2 linked regions of the Tribolium castaneum genome follow. The protein of the gene in region 2 purifies or fractionates together with the protein of the main gene of each other region. This does not show direct contact. Links are inferred from orthologs where the notes say so. Each region holds a gene or a part of one and is shown on either strand. Other genes may lie near its edges.

Region 1 (4,305 bases), on a different chromosome or scaffold from region 2:
TTGTATATAATATAATTTTTGCGAAGATAAATAACCAAATATCTGTTCAGGAAGATTTTATTCAATAAATAATTAACTGGGCTTCCAGCGTACAACAAACGGTCTATAATCACACACACTTTCATTAACCACACAGTTTTTAATCCAATCAACGGTAACATGTTTAACGTCCGGGTTACACTGATCAATTTCAGGTACCATACTGTTCAAATGTATCATATGAGTGGCATTTTCCGATTCTCCATGTTTACAAATTTGGCCACCGTACGCAATAAAGTACCTAATCAAATCCCACTGTTTTTCTCTCACTTTGTCTTCCAACACTACCTTAATATTGTGAAAATAGTCCGGTAGTGGATTTATTATTTTTACAGTTTTCGGTTCCTTTTTAACTTTCTTAGAGTTTGACGATTGCGGATCCTCTGAACCCCTTTTTTTGACAAAGCTTTCCAAAGTTTTCTGTTTCTTAGGCGAAGATTCAGCCGTCCCTTGTAGAAGTAAACTAACATCGGTATGTTCCTTCGATTTGGCAAACAATACTTTGAGTTCTTTGAGCGAAGTTGCTGACTGCCAACACTTATCGTCCCTTATTTTCGTAACCCGAGGGAACCTTATCGAGATACCATCAGCCGTATGCACCTCGTGTTTGGTGAATTCCGCTCCGGTTATCTCCCAAACGGGTTGTTTTTTCGGGTCCCGTGCCACGAAATCGGGAACCATTGTTTTGGTACAATGCAACCAATCGGGTACCTTGGCTGGATCCGAGCTGATTTTGACCATATCAAGCTCTGTTTGCAACTTCTCGAGGGTTTTATCATCGTGTCCGGTTGACACCTTTGACACGGTGCAAAACCGATCATTGGCTTCGTCGTAGCAACCCATTAGGAAAATCGACATGATGCCCCCTTTTTTCCCAGTACCGTACCACGCACCTAGGACTATTAAATCGGCACTGTCGGCCATCGCGCCCCCAAAAAGGTAATCCTTTTTGACTTTGAGCCAATGTCGCTTGCCCGGCTCATAAACACTCGTTATGTCTTTGAGCACCAAGCCCTCAAGCCCGAGCTTGAGCACTTTGGCGATCATTTGAGTCAAATCGTTCGGATCGTGGATTTCCTCCATCTCTGAGAAGACTATATGGTTGGGGATTTCCGTCATATTCTCTTTCAGGATCTTCTTCCTGAACGAGATGGGTTTATCGGTGAGGACATCCCCATTGTAGTAAATACAATCGAAGACAAAAAGACACACACTGGCGTCTTTAAACTCGGATTTTTTGTGGATCCCCAAAGTACCAAACGGGAGCGGCTTACCAGTTTGTGTATCAATCATTAGGATTTCACTATCAAGGATCAAATCCGTTCCGTGCGGAAACGCCTGAGGGATATAGTTTTTAAAATGTGCGACTTTGTGTGGCAATACCGGCTTTAAACTCCTCGAAAAGTACTTAAATTCGGAGCCTTGTTTGTGCACTTGTACCCTCTCACCGTCGTATTTAATCTCGGAGTACATTCCGTTGGGGCACTTCTTCATGGCTTGCTCCACCGATTTGCAGGCTTCCGCAAGCATGGGTAGTACCGGGGTCATTAGCTCGATTCTGGCTTTGGTGCCCTTGTCTTTCAAGCAACGATCAATAACAGCCTTGATATCCCTCGAAGACTGGAAGGCTTGATAAGCGTCAGGATGTACCCCATCCAGAATATGTTTCGCCCCTGCGTTCATCCGAAGATCGTGTTTGATCAATCGAATGACGATTTTTAGGTCATTTGCGGTGCATTTGGACGCAAAAGTTTTCAAATGTGCTGTTTGTTCCTCTTCTTTGGTCAAGTTAGTGAGGTCTTGAAGGAACTCATCCACTTGTTGGAGGGTTAGGGTACTTTTCTTGACCGGTTTAAACGATTTACTCCTCTCGTAGAAGACCTGAATCGTCTCACTGACATCCCCCTGTTCCAAATGCTCCAACATTGCGTCTTGATCGCAATGGAAAATCTTGCTAAATAACTTAACCAACTGTTTGCTTTGGAGGTTGTAGATGCGTTTGACGAAACCAGGGAGGAGCAAGCGGCACCAAAGGACGATATCGCCCTTAAAGCCCGTCCCGTCGCTCCCTTTTGTGAACATTTTACTCACAATACTTGTCTTTTCAAGATAACTACTGACGTTGCTAATATCGGCCACAACTCTCCGGAATTCCCGAAATTGATTGTCCTTGTGTGACGGATCAAACTGGATAACTGGACCCGAACTGTCTTTACTACTAGTACTGGGTTTTGCCTCCTGAGGCGTTTTCTTCGGACTAGGCTTAACCCCATGTTTAGTTTCAAAAAAACTGTTACATTCCTCGACACGCTTCAAAATATCGCTCTTTTGCTCGTCATCTAGCAACACCCAGCCGTCGATATCCTCAACAGGGTCATCAATTCGTTTAGTTGTGGGTCTCTGCTTCAAGAAAACTTCGAAAAGGCAATTGACATGATGCCAGTTTTTCATTTTTCCTTCTCCAAAGGGGTTGGCAACCAATTTGGCAATGCGCAACTCGCCCTGGGCACACTTCTGCTTGCATTTTTTACAAACAGCACGCCCCTGCTTTGCGACTTCCACCAGAAAAGGCTTTTCAACAAGCTCATCTGACATCTAAAAGTGAGGTTATGTAACACACTATACTCAATTTTTGATAAACTTATACCTTCAGTGCAGAAAAAAGACCTGGAAGAATTAAATCAAATGCAAGGCAAAGACGTAAACTTTATTGTTTCGCTAAAATAAAATAAATAAATAGGTTTGTACAGTGGGTAACGTGTAACCGTTGAACTGATCAGCTGTTAGTGTTGTTGCCAGTTTTTGAGGAAAAAGAAAGGTATTTTATAATTAAAACGACTCATTTAACCATTAAACAATACTTTATTGAAATAACAAATCATTCTCCCTACAACAATTTATTTTCAATACCTATCTTTATCATTTCTGTTATCATTGGACATAACCTGCCACCTGGGCGAGCTTAAATATACTAAAATTTGTTTATCCTTAATATTTGAATAATTTTTTGCCGCTTATTAAGGACCGGTGTATAGAAGTGTCATTAATTTAATCTGCAATTAAAAGCGTGATTAACTGATCACGTGACCAAATTGAACAAATTTGATTGGTCCATTTGTGTTGTTAACTTTAACAACGAATTAAATTTTAACAAAGCTTTGTATAAACCGGCCCTTAATGGGAATGCGTGTTTGTTGCCTTTTTGTGTGAGTCTTACATAGTTTAACTTCCAGATGGAGGAGAAGCCCTTCGCCGTGGAGGTGGCCAGGCAAGGGCGCGCCCTTTGCAAAAAATGCCGCCAGAAGTGCGTTCAAGGCGATTTGCGCATTGCTAAATTAATCCCGAACCCTCTGGGTTCCGGTAAAATGAAAACTTGGTACCACGTAAGCTGTATCTTTGAAACATTTTTAAAACAGAGACAAACAACTAAAAGAATCGAGGGCCCCCTGGACATCGACGGCTGGGAGTCACTCGACCCCGACGATAAAGTGAATATCTTGGAAAAGATCTCGCAATGTAACCGGGAATTTGAAGCCAAGTTTAGTAAAAAAAGACCGAAAAAGGGGACCAAGCCGCAGCCGCAGCTTGTCGTCGACGACAATTTGAGTAATTTATCTGATAATTGCACGACTGAGGAGGTTCACAAGGATAATTGTTTCCGCGAGTTTCGCAGGATCGTGTCGAAGCTCCCGAAGGTGTCAAGTTCCAACGAAAAAATCAGCATTTTCCGCGAGATTTTCACGAAAGGTTGCGACGGGAGCGGTTTTAAGGGCGATGTCGTTCTCTGGTGCAAACTGCTCCTCCCTGCGGTGAACAAACGCGTGTTTCACTTGCAGACCAAGCAACTGATTAAAATATTTAGCAAGATTTTCGCGGTTAGTGAAGAAACAATGACTGCTCACTTGGAACAGGGCGATGTGGGCCAGACCATCCAACATTTCTTCGAAGAAAACGCCGAGTGTAAACCGGCGAAAAAAAGCACCTTGAGCCTCTTTGAAGTGGACGATTTTCTGGAATCCTTGACCACGCTGTCCAAGGAAGAAGATCAGTGCAACCGCTTCAAAACTTTCATCAAAAAGTGCACAGCGAATGACTTGAAAGTGGTCATTCGCTTGATCAAACACGACTTAAGGATGAGCGCAGGAGCGAAACATGTGTTCAACGGACTGCATCCGGAGGCCTATTCGGTCTTCCAGACGTGCAAAGACATCGCCACTGTGATAAGCACTTGTCAGGGGCGCAAAGAACCCCCGAAGAAAAGGCGGA
Region 2 (3,771 bases):
ACCATTTATTTTGTAAAAACGCACGCACACACTATTAAAGTAACCAGAATCAAAAACGGCAGCCATGTCTTAACAAACCCAGCAAAACTAACATACTTTGAGTACAACAACATAAAAAATGCCAATTTCACCATATTCCAACTTTTCGAATCATCATATTGCATCAGATTAAGCGCGGTGGCAACGTGAGAGTGACAATTATCGCAGCATAAATTGTGCATACGTCCGCTATAAATTTCTGAAGCTTCAGTAACTGCACGGTCCCAGCCGGAAATTCCCCCGTGTGCCAGTGACGGTTTCAGCTGCCAGTACTTAGTAGGGCGGCCGAAGGCCATGTCGTCTTCGGAAACGTAGTAAGGGCCGGCAAAATCCCGGATAACCCCCGAGGACAGGGCTATCCCCATGTGCCCAATAATGGGGAAAAGCCAGGTCAGGAACGGGATTGGGGTCCAGACTATGCAGCAAGGGTAGCGGTCGCGGGACTTGTCGATTTCGCCGAACTGTGCCATGTCGCCACTTTCAGGGCTTGCCATGTTATTAAGCCGCAAAATTTTGCATTTTTAGCCCCACTTGTGACCTAACCTATAAACCAGTGTTGATCTGTCAAATTGTGAATAATACAGGCGATCAGCTGGTTCTTGTTAATGCTTACACTACAAAGTTATTGACGATTAATTTGACCCACTGCATTTTTAGAAGGTAACTACGCACGAATTGCAAGTGCTTGTTATTAGAAGAGGCGCATAAATTTAAACTCATACAGTTAAAAAAATATATATATTTTATTGAAACTATTTATTTATTTACAAATTTTTTCGCTTCCTTGACCAGTCTCTTAACATTTTCGCTGTCCTCATCCGCATTTTGCGAGTCTTCCCAATCTGTGTCATCATCATCTGACTCTCCCTCATATTCTTCGCTATCATCACTAACAACAAATGGATCGTCCTCAGACTCGGAATCCAACTCGCGCATTTCCTGACTATCGGCCACATTTAAACGCTGAACCTTCTTTCGGGACCGTTTTTCTGTCCAATAAAACAAACCAATTAATAAAAAATGTTTATTACTCTTCATAACCATCTTTTGGCTTTTTGTTACAATATATACATAAATTACAGCAAACATTCTTACTTTTCACTGGGGCTTGTTGTAGTGGATGTTTGAAGTCTCTTCTGTGTTGCTTATTTTTTCTGTAACAAGAGGCGCCGTAAGTGCAAAAGGGTCTGTTGTCTTCTGGGTCACTCTCAAAGTCTGAGTCACCAGGATGGGTGAAGTCTTGTCTGTGAACGGGGTTTTTTCGGTAGCACTGGGCTGCATACCAGCAACGCTCACGCCGTGGTTTCGGGATTGAAGTGCCGGGATTTTCACCATCTGGATCTTCTTTCTTCATTTCTTCAGACCCTTGTTCTTCATTTTCAGGAACGTTAGTCGAGATTTCTTCATCTTGAATGGAAGTTGACGGTTCGACTTTTATTTCTGAGTCAGTTATATCTAATTCACTCGTTATTTCCATTTTTATTTCTTCATTTTCTCCAATATTAATCTCTGGATTTGGTGGAACTTCTTCATTAGTTTCACCTTCTTCAATTTTGATCTTTTTTTCTGGTGGTATTTCCTCTTCCGGACTTTCATGTGGCCGTTTGACCACCGCCTCACTTTTAATTGCACCATTATCAGCCCTTTCTTCATTTAAATCTTCATGGACAATGTTGATTTTAAACCAGTGATCTTCAGCAAGAAACGCAAAACTGTCACCATCATTCAGTTGCGTGCTTGTATCTTTTTTGAGAATGGTTAGAGTTTTGCTTTCTGCGGCTTTGAGAAAACAAGGATTGACATGTATCTGCAATTAGTTTGTAAACAATCAAAGTTAAAACGCAATCAAAAGGCCATACAGAAGTGAGTTTAACGTGATCTGGTGTAACTTCCAAAGTTGCGTGATTTCGTGATACTCGCTTGTCGTTGCACTGAAATTTATAGATTTAGCAAAATTTTAGGGCAAGGCTAGTGTCATTACCTGTAAAGCAGGACCGCGCCCTAAAACATGGGCCCCCAAGGGAAATCTATTTAAAATTTCTTCTTCGCCTAGTCTTTGAACTTCCACAAACATTGCAAAATTCGACTGTGTAGAAGATTTATTCTAAAAATTGTAATAAAAAATAAACAAGTCGTAACTTGAATTAACCTTGAAGTTTTTACGTCACATAATTGGCGCGGAATTTGACTTTTTCTATTTGATTTAAAAGAAATGCATTCACACTAGAAGTTTTTATGTTATTTTATATTTCAGTACAATTTACATTAGAATAATGTTTAAATTAATGTAAAAAAAAAATTAAATTAAATAAAATAATTAAAAAAATAAGTATAATGCCAATCTCAACGATCTAAAAACAAAAATCCCCACATTTGACAATGACATGTAATTAGTAACGTCAAAATGGCTGGTTGTCATTTGTGTTAAAAAAATAAATTTGCGTCTTAAAGTGAATAACTAACAGCCAGGACGTTCCAACTGATTGCAAATTGTGCGGTGCTTGGTGGTTGGTCGTTGTTAATTTAAGAGTGTTCGAGAAACATAAATTTGGTTGTTTTATTATTCAACACAGGTGACATATTTTCCATCATTTCTCATTCAGGTAGTTAATTATTTTGCATCACGTTTATTGTAATATTCAAGGTCGGTGTTGTAATTAGATTTAGCAATAATTGCATCTTCGCAGATGTCGAATTTGATTCCGCCGCTTTTGAGCAGTTCACCACCTCCAATTGTAGGACCACTTGACGAGGATGACGACGACGAATTTGGGGATTTTCGGGCCGCTGCTGATTCGTTTGACTGTGATGGTAAATTTTGTTGCCCTCTTTTCAATTATAATAACAATAAATCATAGATTTCTCTTTACCACCTTCACCACAAAAATCCTCAGAACTGAAAACCGACCTTTCCAAAGTCAGTTTAGATATAAATAGCAACAAGAGCCAAAAAAACACACAAGAAATGCCAACTGAGAACGTAGAAGACTCCGTAGTGTGTGAGGAAGTCAGTAAAGATTTTCAAGACAGGAGAAAAAGCTTAGATGCTGAGATCAAAGTCAATTCTAGTGAACAAATTGATGAAATAAATGGCTTTGAGGCCGACTTTAATGACCAAAAAATTGAAGATGATGATTTCGCTGATCTTCAATGTACTCTACCAAATGAAACTCAAGTAGAAAATGGAGTAAATAGCCTCAGCAATGACGAAAATCTATTTGAGGCTTTTAGTGAAAAGACAAATGACATTTCTGAAAGTAATGAGATTAAATCTGAGGATTACTTCTCTGAAGAGATTAACGACAAATGTGAGAACGATCTGAGCGAGTCCTCAGTCAGTCTCAAAGTGTCTGAAAGTGAACAAAAATCAACTGAAGACGATTTCGGCGACTTTGAAAACCATTTTAGTAACGATAAGGAGGCATCAGACGACGAATTCGACGATTTTGTTGAACCTCCGCAACAGAGTAAAGAAGATGACGATTTCGGCGATTTTGAATCGTCAGAATTCGGCGATTTTTCGCAAAGTTGCGAAAAGTCGACTCTTCCCGAGATTGACGTGAAAAATGCTCTTGAAAAAAGCGAAGCAATTTTGAAGGAATTTTTCCCCGATATCGAACAAGACAGTGACGATTGCGTCGCTGCTGATTACACAACAGAAAATCGCATTTTTGACGAACTGAAGGATGTTACGGAAACTAACGCTCTGGTGTATCAGTGGTCGAAGTCAAA

Evidence for each region.
Region 1: the proteins of aprataxin and PNK-like factor (region 2) and DNAlig3 purify together in Homo sapiens (affinity purification with mass spectrometry; 3 studies listed by BioGRID and IntAct, counting the BioPlex papers as one, with this or other methods). This does not show direct contact. The link is inferred for Tribolium castaneum from reciprocal best matches to the Homo sapiens genes APLF and LIG3.

The regions. Positions count from the first base shown.
Region 1 is NC_087397.1:11,972,033-11,976,337, forward strand, and holds DNAlig3 (DNA ligase 3), read right to left. Parts: upstream 2,822-4,305; 5' UTR 2,687-2,821; intron 2,641-2,686; exon of another isoform or gene 2,635-2,640; coding exon 73-2,634; 3' UTR 42-72; downstream 1-41. Other genes in the region: DNA ligase 3, read left to right, coding at 3,273-4,305. UniProt on the Homo sapiens protein: Isoform 3 functions as a heterodimer with DNA-repair protein XRCC1 in the nucleus and can correct defective DNA strand-break repair and sister chromatid exchange following treatment with ionizing radiation and alkylating agents.
Region 2 is NC_087396.1:16,125,871-16,129,641, reverse strand, and holds aprataxin and PNK-like factor, read right to left. Parts: upstream 2,228-3,771; 5' UTR 2,114-2,227; coding exon 2,021-2,113; intron 1,971-2,020; coding exon 1,899-1,970; intron 1,847-1,898; coding exon 1,135-1,846; intron 1,029-1,134; coding exon 796-1,028; 3' UTR 764-795; downstream 1-763. Other genes in the region: transmembrane protein 222, read right to left, coding at 6-533; Afti (proteoglycan 4), read left to right, coding at 2,727-2,850, 2,898-3,771. UniProt on the Homo sapiens protein: Histone chaperone involved in single-strand and double-strand DNA break repair.